3 linked regions of the Saccharomyces cerevisiae S288C genome follow. The protein of the gene in region 1 interacts with the protein of each later gene in a biochemical or structural test. Each region holds a gene or a part of one and is shown in the gene's direction. Other genes may lie near its edges. The genes, in order: PAM18, JAC1 and TIM17.

What was found.
Region 2: the proteins of PAM18 (region 1) and JAC1 form a complex in vitro, tested with the Saccharomyces cerevisiae proteins (one study listed by BioGRID).
Region 3: the proteins of PAM18 (region 1) and TIM17 form a complex in vitro, tested with the Saccharomyces cerevisiae proteins (3 studies listed by BioGRID).

What each region holds. Positions count from the first base shown.
Region 1 is NC_001144.5:165,077-168,256, reverse strand, and holds PAM18 (Pam18p), read left to right. Parts: upstream 1-2,173; coding exon 2,174-2,680; downstream 2,681-3,180. Other genes in the region: TEN1 (Ten1p), read left to right, coding at 455-937; RLP24 (ATPase-activating ribosome biosynthesis protein), read right to left, coding at 1,121-1,720; Smc5-Smc6 complex subunit NSE1, read right to left, coding at 2,855-3,180. UniProt on the Saccharomyces cerevisiae protein: Essential component of the PAM complex, a complex required for the translocation of transit peptide-containing proteins from the inner membrane into the mitochondrial matrix in an ATP-dependent manner.
Region 2 is NC_001139.9:458,610-461,524, reverse strand, and holds JAC1 (J-type chaperone JAC1), read left to right. Parts: upstream 1-1,860; coding exon 1,861-2,415; downstream 2,416-2,915. Other genes in the region: ATE1 (arginyltransferase), read right to left, coding at 160-1,671; casein kinase 2 regulatory subunit CKB1, read right to left, coding at 2,533-2,915. UniProt on the Saccharomyces cerevisiae protein: Co-chaperone required for the assembly of iron-sulfur (Fe/S) clusters in mitochondria. Stimulates the ATPase activity of its specialized Hsp70 chaperone partner SSQ1, to mediate the transfer of iron-sulfur clusters from ISU1 to GRX5.
Region 3 is NC_001142.9:144,960-148,132, forward strand, and holds TIM17 (protein transporter TIM17), read left to right. Parts: upstream 1-2,141; coding exon 2,142-2,618; downstream 2,619-3,173. Other genes in the region: SFH5 (Sfh5p), read left to right, coding at 201-1,085; ROQ1 (Roq1p), read left to right, coding at 1,400-1,714; IRC9 (Irc9p), read right to left, coding at 2,860-3,173; serine/threonine protein kinase YAK1, read right to left, coding at 3,008-3,173. UniProt on the Saccharomyces cerevisiae protein: Essential component of the TIM23 complex, a complex that mediates the translocation of transit peptide-containing proteins across the mitochondrial inner membrane.

The sequences.
Region 1 (3,180 bases):
AAACTACCCAAACATATAAATGCCTGAACAATTAGTTTAGATCCAAGATCCGTGCTTCCACCATTTAGTATGATTCATATTTTATATGATATAGGACAGTTAACATTCCTTGAATCAAGCTGATAATCCGTTTTGACAACTGGTTACTTCTCGAAGACTGTTTATATTAGGATTGTCAAAACACCCCAGTATTATTTGGGCTCGTAATATGATATAAATCAATAGTCATATGGCAACTTGGCCGAGTGGTTAAGGCGAAAGATTAGAAATCTTTTGGGCTTTGCCCGCGCAGGTTCGAGTCCTGCAGTTGTCGTTATTTTTTCTTTTTCTTTTTTTTTTCTCTGAAGCAGAGATGGAGAATAATGAATGCCCTTATTCTAGGACATAATTCACTATATTGTATTGGTTACATACAGCTCTATTTGCTCTTTTTAGAGAACTACGACAGTGTTATATGAGCCAGTTAGTTCTAGACTTAAAATGTTTGAAGGATAAAATAGCAACGAATTACGATATTCATAACAATGTTTACGGTGGAAACGGAATGGAACCAAACATTATTCATCCGTCCAAAAGATTCAGGATTGTTGTTCGATTAGTAGATTTCTTGTTCTGTAAATCGGATGAAGAATTCATTAAAGGTTTTTTCTGTCAAATGATAGTTAGAAATCTTCATTGCCTCAATTCAACAAATGGCGCAGAGGAGATGCGTTTGTATATGAGCGAAAGATTATTTTCAGCCCATAAAGATGATTTGAGATTGATAAATGGGCAGGTACTGGATGTTCGCATTGGGGTATGGTATGGAATACACCAAAGTCCGCCAATTTTTGAAATCATTGATTTTAAGATACTATCCAGGAATGACGTTCGTGATTTCTGTGAATTTGTCAAATCACCACTTGGTGAGAAGTTTCTGAACATCTCTAACTCCTAAGTCAGACGTTTGGCATATACTGAGATTATATAATACCTTTGATAAGAATGTAAGAGGACCCTTGAAAATAGTTATTGTAATGTTATGTAATGTAAATAATAGTATACAGGTGATTCTTATTTATCCCATGAAATAAGTATGAGAAAAGAAAGGAAAGAGGCAATTAGCCCGGTTCTGTTCTAACTAAAAAGCAATTTTCTTTGTATTTCTTCTTCTGTTCTTTAGCAGAATCTTTTGCTTTTCCAATTGTTCTTCCTCTTCCTCGTCACTGTCGATTTCCATATCCTCCTCTTCTTCTTCAGATTCCTCTTGTTCGGATACTGATTCAGCTCTTTCTTGTTCTTTAGCCAACTTTCTGGCAATTTCAACTTCTCTGATTCTCAATAATTCTGGGTTAGATTCGACCAATTTCTTATCTCTTAAGAAGTCCTTTTCTTTGTTACCTCTCATTCTATTCTTGTAGAAGGCTCTTTCACGTTTTTGTCTAATTTCTTCGATTCTAGCCATAGCCTTCAAAGTTGTGGCAACTAACTCTCTATTGTATCTAACAGGGACATTTCTTCTTTGGGCAAAAGTCAAGGTAGAATCCACAGCCAATTCTTTTCCGGCAGCCTTTCTGAAAGCTTTGGTCCATTTTAGTTTTCTTGGGTTACGACGTTGCTTGAATGCCTTGTGACACTTAGAACGGCAGAACCTAAACTCTTTAGCATCGTTACGCACAAACATGATCCCATGACCTGGATAACATGGGGATGAGCAAAAATGGCATTGATAAATTCTCATTTTTTTATACTTACTAAACTTCTACTTCCTTTTCCTTTTAGTTTCTGAATGTAAATCACGGGGAGGTGGTGGTAACAATATGGACAACTCACGCTTGAATAGCAATATCTTTCAAATCACAAGTCGAAGAACTTAAAAGTGGTATATCACGGATCAAGATAGAAACTGATGTAAGTTGGAGATAGGGTGGGATGAGATGAGATGAGTTTAGAAATACATTATTTAATAAAAGACGAGTGAAAATTTTTCACTCCGCTGAGTTCGAGGCGAGCGGGCAAAAAATTTAAAGAGCGAGAATCGGACCAAATGTGAAAGCCATTTGAATCAACGTAGGACTCACTCGACGGAGACCCTTGAACTAGACAAAGTACGAATAGTAGTGGAATTTGTACGTCTCCACTGGCCGAGCACAGTTTAATAAGGTTGCATAAACACTTCCACCCGCACAATATCATGAGTTCTCAAAGTAATACTGGTAATTCTATTGAGGCACCACAACTACCCATTCCTGGTCAAACTAATGGCTCTGCGAACGTTACTGTTGATGGAGCTGGTGTTAATGTCGGTATCCAGAATGGTTCGCAGGGTCAAAAGACCGGAATGGACCTTTATTTTGATCAAGCTTTGAACTACATGGGAGAACATCCTGTGATAACAGGTTTTGGGGCCTTTTTAACTTTATATTTTACAGCCGGTGCATATAAATCAATATCGAAGGGACTTAACGGTGGAAAATCCACTACTGCCTTCTTGAAAGGCGGATTTGACCCGAAAATGAATTCTAAAGAGGCTCTACAGATTTTGAATTTGACAGAAAATACATTGACTAAAAAAAAGTTGAAAGAGGTTCATAGGAAAATTATGTTAGCTAATCATCCTGACAAAGGTGGTTCTCCATTTTTGGCCACTAAGATAAACGAAGCTAAGGACTTTTTGGAAAAAAGGGGTATTAGCAAATAAGGTAAAACGGGAACCTAAAATGAGTTATTGCAATTGCATATATGCCTAATACAAGTGGTATAAACCTCGAACCGTGTTCAATCACATGCCGTTTAGGAGATTAAAATACTTCGGGCAATCAAATGTTTGTATAGATAAGTCTTGTAAATAACACGGAAAGCTATGTATTTTAGTTTAAATAACGTATACGCCCTCTGTGATTAGCGATGAACCGCAACGATCACAATTCTTGCTTACATGGGTAATATAATGCTTGAAACAATCAACATGCCAAATTTGAGACAGACTATTCTCTCCAGTTTCCTCATTCTCTTCTCGGCATGATTCGTTGCCGCACCTGACACCTTGAATTGCCAGCTTGTGGCAATTTTGGCAAGTGTTCAAATTGTACATGGATGTTAGATACTCTTCTAGTTCTGCTATACAGCGAAGATCAATACCGAATTTCCCTTCCTGAGTCCTGTAAAACCATTTCAGTTCGCATAATCGGAGTAGTAAGT
Region 2 (2,915 bases), on another chromosome or scaffold:
GCGATGAGGAGACAAAAAAGCATCAGGTATTTAATGGATAAATCACCTCCAAAACTATTCCATCAACTATATAAAATTATCTCAGCGCGATGGTGAGAATGTTTGAATGCTAAAAAATGTTATACATTAGGATTGTTATTAGAATAGTGTGTTGAAGGCTCACATTTGCTCACTATATAAAATGACGGCTTTCATACAAGTTTCGAAGCCAAATAACCGTATCACGTCACAAATACGTTTCTTGACATTCGGAGGTTCGCTATAAAAGTTAATTAATGGTCGAATCCCCTCCGTTTCGATTTCGAAGAGAAATAGTCTTCCCTCCAGGTCAGTGATCTTGCCAGATTGCATAATGTCCAGCAATTCCCATAGCGGGAGTAATCCCGGCACCACATTAGGAATACCATTTGGAGCATGGCCATTGTGTTCTTTCAAATGGTAGATGGTATCTAAATCTTCCTCTTCGTACGGTATACCGTAAAGTTCTTTCAATTCCAATGCAGATTCATTTGCAGATTTAAACGCACACCCTCCCACACCGTATATTTCCTCAGCAATATTCTTGTACTTGACAACATTATCAGTGGGAAATCCCTCCCCTCTTCCGGTTTCAGAGTCAACGAGGTAGAGCTCCTTAGTAACTTTCGTCTCTTCTTCACCTATGACAAAGAGTTTGCCCCTAGAAATCATATCCTGAATGGGTTTCAATGGGATATATTTACTGTGACACACATCCAGTACTTCCGCACCATAGTTTGCTTTATAATTCATCTTCGGACAGTCCTCAATATAGTACCCCAGGTAATAGTATTGCAGATTTGTCCTTTGAATGATGGCAAGATCGCGCAAAGCACTGAGCTTCCCTAGGGACCATTTACTGTAGTCTGGATCCCAAATAAAATATACCGAAGATATACCACTGGGCAAGATATCTGACACAGTGATGGCAATTAATTTACCCTCATAGTAGTAGCATTCGTGCACAGGACCCATATGCTTCAGTTTCTCGCCTGGCTTCATTCGCTGCCAATTGTTTAACTGCTCCCATGATTCTTGTGTCCCCAACACCGCTTCAGGGCCAAAGGGCGTATCACATAGGAATCGCTTAAAGGACTTCGGCGAATTATTGTAGTCTTGATGCACTTTTTCCTGATATTTGACAAATAAGTGATACTTTTCTTCACTATAAAGTGCAGGCTCAAATCGGGTATAGAATGTTTTAGAATTCATCTCTGCATTAACAATTTTGCCCACAAAATCACTGCTTGCAACAGCGGCTGGGCAGTAGTCCTCACTTGTTATTCTAGTAGCAAAGCGGCTGATGCATTTTTTCAATTCCTTTGTCATATTCAATTCTTGAGGGGCAGTTCGAATGGTGTATAACCTACAACAATTCCTCAACGGGTCCACTTTATAAAGAAACTTACCAGACCTTCTAAATCCCATATTACACATGCGATCATACGTGGCTACATCCATATGTTCCACGAAAGAGCCAATTGTGCAGTTTTCAATCTTTACAACGTCCATTTTGTTCATATAACGATGAGCCCACGAATCCAATGCGAACAACTGATCCATGTTGCCCCCCTTATTACCGTGACAATACCCACACTTTGCGGCAGGTTCATTGTGCATCGAGGGAGCCCAAATAACGAATCTATCGGACATAATTGTGCTTCTTCTCAGTTGTATCTTGAGACTATCTTGTCTTTTGTAACAATAGCAATGAAACTCACAGCGTAATTCTTAACAATAGGTAAAAAAAAAACGAAAAAGAAAAGGAAACTAAAAAGATGATGCGAAATTAAAGGCTGAGGCTGATAATGGAAACAGGTATCAAGAAGCCCCACAAGCACAATGTTGAAATACTTGGTTCAACGAAGATTCACTTCTACATTTTACGAGCTGTTCCCAAAGACCTTCCCCAAAAAGCTACCCATTTGGACTATCGATCAATCCAGATTAAGGAAGGAGTATAGGCAATTACAAGCACAGCACCATCCAGACATGGCCCAACAAGGTAGTGAACAGTCATCAACTCTTAATCAAGCTTACCATACTCTCAAAGATCCCCTTAGAAGGTCACAATATATGCTAAAACTCTTGCGCAATATCGATTTGACGCAAGAACAGACCTCAAATGAAGTAACTACCAGTGATCCACAGTTACTATTGAAAGTTCTAGACATCCATGATGAATTATCCCAGATGGACGACGAAGCTGGTGTGAAGCTGCTTGAAAAGCAAAACAAGGAAAGAATTCAAGATATTGAAGCCCAGTTGGGACAATGCTACAATGACAAGGATTACGCCGCCGCAGTGAAGTTGACCGTGGAGCTAAAGTACTGGTACAACTTGGCCAAGGCATTCAAAGACTGGGCTCCAGGAAAACAATTGGAAATGAATCACTAAAGTACTCCAAAGTGGTAATAGTAATAATAATAATAGTGGTGATATAAAAACTGAAACAATGTAAATAGGTAAAGTACATATGTATATGGTAGGGCAAAGAGGAAAATAAATCAAGGGTTAAACCGCCGGTGTCTCGAACTCGCATTTGGCAAATTCTTCCCAGTCCTCCTCCGTGGATGGATATTGTCTCAACCACTTCATTCTAGGACCAGATACTGCCTCATCATTTATCCTGAACCCAAAAACTTTCAACTCGTAGGACTCTTTACTTTTCCTTTCCACATACTCTTCCAATTCTTTGAAATGTTTCAAGAACACACCAGGGAAGCTTGTCCCCCAAAATGCACCTTCTAAGCACAGGAATCTAGATGATTGGGGAAGATACAAGTCCTGACAACTGGGACAGTACAACCTTACGGTGTGTTTCCCAACTGTATCGCTCAACCCACAAGGCAGCAACTGCATGCCATTACAATAGTAACGGGGGCACGTTCCAAATT
Region 3 (3,173 bases), on another chromosome or scaffold:
AAGTTCAAGGTTATTTTAGCACTTCTACATTCTCGGGTGTGGCTAGAATTGGGCGGAATGAAAAAAAAAAACTATGTCCATCGCTTTACTAATTAGTGATCGCACCAAGAAAAACGAGCTGTACATTGCAATTGTACCTCTTTTTTTTTTCCTACTTAGAATCCCAATCGTAATTAATTCACTAAATTAACATCCTTAAAATGAAATTCGACAATGACAGTGAGAAGCAGGTTTTCGATAAGCTTAAAAAAGCGATTCCTGGTATTATCAAGGAAAAATGTGCAGGATACGATGAATTGTATGGTTACAAGTTGAATCCTGAAGGTCTTACACAAGAGGAGGTTGATAAATACTATGACGAAAAAATCGCCGATCGTCTAACCTACAAACTTTGCAAAGCCTATCAATTTGAATATAGCACCATTGTACAGAACCTGATCGATATTTTGAATTGGAGGAGGGAATTCAACCCATTGAGTTGTGCCTACAAGGAAGTCCATAATACAGAATTGCAAAACGTTGGTATTTTGACATTCGATGCAAACGGCGACGCAAATAAAAAGGCTGTCACTTGGAACTTATACGGCCAACTGGTCAAAAAAAAAGAATTGTTTCAAAATGTGGATAAGTTTGTACGCTACAGAATCGGGCTCATGGAAAAGGGTTTGAGCTTATTAGATTTCACCAGCTCCGACAACAACTATATGACCCAAGTCCACGATTATAAAGGCGTCTCCGTGTGGCGAATGGATTCTGACATTAAAAACTGTAGCAAGACGGTCATTGGAATCTTTCAAAAATACTATCCAGAACTGTTATATGCAAAGTATTTTGTTAATGTCCCCACCGTTTTCGGCTGGGTTTACGATTTAATCAAAAAGTTCGTTGACGAAACCACCAGAAAGAAGTTCGTGGTATTAACCGACGGCAGCAAGTTGGGTCAATACTTGAAGGATTGCCCATATGAAGGGTATGGCGGGAAAGATAAGAAGAACAATCTGACCAAGCAAAATGTCACAAATGTCCATCCAACAGAATACGGCCTTTACATTTTACAAAAACAAATCATCGAGGACGTTGAGTGATTTGTTGGCATGATCTAATAATAGTCTCTTATATAAACCCTATAATAATTTCTTATTTTTGCCTTATATTCAGGTAAATCACCATCTAACTGTATTATCTCTCACGTATCTTCACTTATATGGCTCAGAAAACACCGTACGAAACGAAGGGGCTGCGAAAATGTTTCTAGAAGGTAATGGCAATAATAGGGATACAGATCGATCAGATCCGCCTATATAAAAGACAACGCACCGAAGGTGAACAAGATCGCAGATAAAGGTATTTACAAGGGAAAAAAGTCAGCAAAAACAAGAGATAAGATAACAAGAAGAAGATGTTAAGGAGGGAAACTTCAACAATATACAGGACACACAAAAAAAGCAACAGTAGTATACTCAGGAGCCAGCGGGACCAGACTAGAGTGGATTCCTTGGTAGAGGAGTCTCCCATGGGCGATTTCGGGATCAATAACCAGCCTACACAGCCTGGCGTGATATACTACTTTGTAGAGCTGACTAATTTAGGCATACAGGAAAACACAAGCAGTAATAATAACAACAACAATAATCATGGTGACGATGAAAACGGCAGTCGATACGGCCACGGCAGCAGTCTGGGTGGAGACGTTCACTCTCGCCGTTGTTCATGAACTCCAGCATTATAAAGCATATCTAACAATACCATTCGGGTTATACTGAATAGCCCACGCACGGGTTCGGGGTTGTAACGATTATATGCATTTCATAACATGCCACTGTCAGTGGCGCCACGGAAGGATAGCGGGACTTTATCAAATCATTAATTTCTGTGCATAAAGTGTATAGTATATTCATATAGATATGTATATATATCATTGAATACAGAAATCTTCGGGTGTATACAACGAACATTCATCGGACGCCTTTTTTACTGCTATTGTTCAACAAAGTGGGTAACCCGGCATTCTTGCGCCAAAGTTTCCATTTTTATGCCAAATCCAGAGGATAAAAGCACTATTCTCATCAAAAGATGGAAAAGCTGTGAAAGAGTCAAGTTCAGAAGAAAGCGTTAAGAAAAATAGAGTACACGGGAGCGTTATGTCAGCCGATCATTCGAGAGATCCATGTCCTATAGTCATACTAAATGATTTCGGTGGTGCTTTTGCCATGGGTGCCATTGGTGGTGTTGTTTGGCATGGGATTAAAGGTTTTAGAAATTCGCCATTAGGTGAGCGTGGTTCAGGAGCTATGAGCGCCATTAAAGCGCGTGCTCCCGTACTGGGTGGTAATTTTGGTGTGTGGGGTGGTTTATTTTCGACTTTTGATTGCGCTGTGAAGGCCGTTAGAAAGAGAGAGGACCCATGGAATGCTATCATTGCAGGGTTTTTCACTGGTGGCGCTTTAGCTGTAAGAGGTGGTTGGAGGCATACAAGGAACAGTTCGATCACGTGTGCTTGTTTGTTGGGTGTGATTGAAGGTGTGGGACTAATGTTTCAAAGATATGCTGCTTGGCAAGCCAAACCTATGGCTCCTCCTTTGCCCGAAGCACCTTCCTCTCAACCTCTGCAAGCTTAGGCATGTAGACATTATATGAGCCATTTTTTCATCGTTGTTGGAAGTACCCTTATTCGGCATGTTTTTTGTTACATAAATGACGTATCGCACTAGCCTCCTTTACGTTTTTACTTTATTTCAGCCTTTTATTTCAAGATTACCAACCATTTCTCTCAACCATGTACATATTATATATTGAAAAAGTACCATACTTCATCTCTGAAGAGAAAATATCAACAAGCCAAAAGCTAGTGCAGAAACTTTATAATGTTACTTTATTAATTGTAATGACTATACGTATAAGGAAAATTAAGAAAAGGCAAAATTCATATTTATTTAGTATATCATTATGGCACCAAGCCGTAATAAAATGAAATGGGTAGTTAAGAAAAGTCAGACAAAATAACGATTTATTCTTCGACAATGTGAAGTTTATTGAACGCGCTTGTTGGCCCTTCTTGAACAGAATGAGTAACAGCAAAATTATTGGAGATGTCGCCAGATGTATTCTCCTTCCTTTTACTGATAGCACCAATGTCGACGCTATCAGCACCACCAGTGGCAGAGCTAGGATTA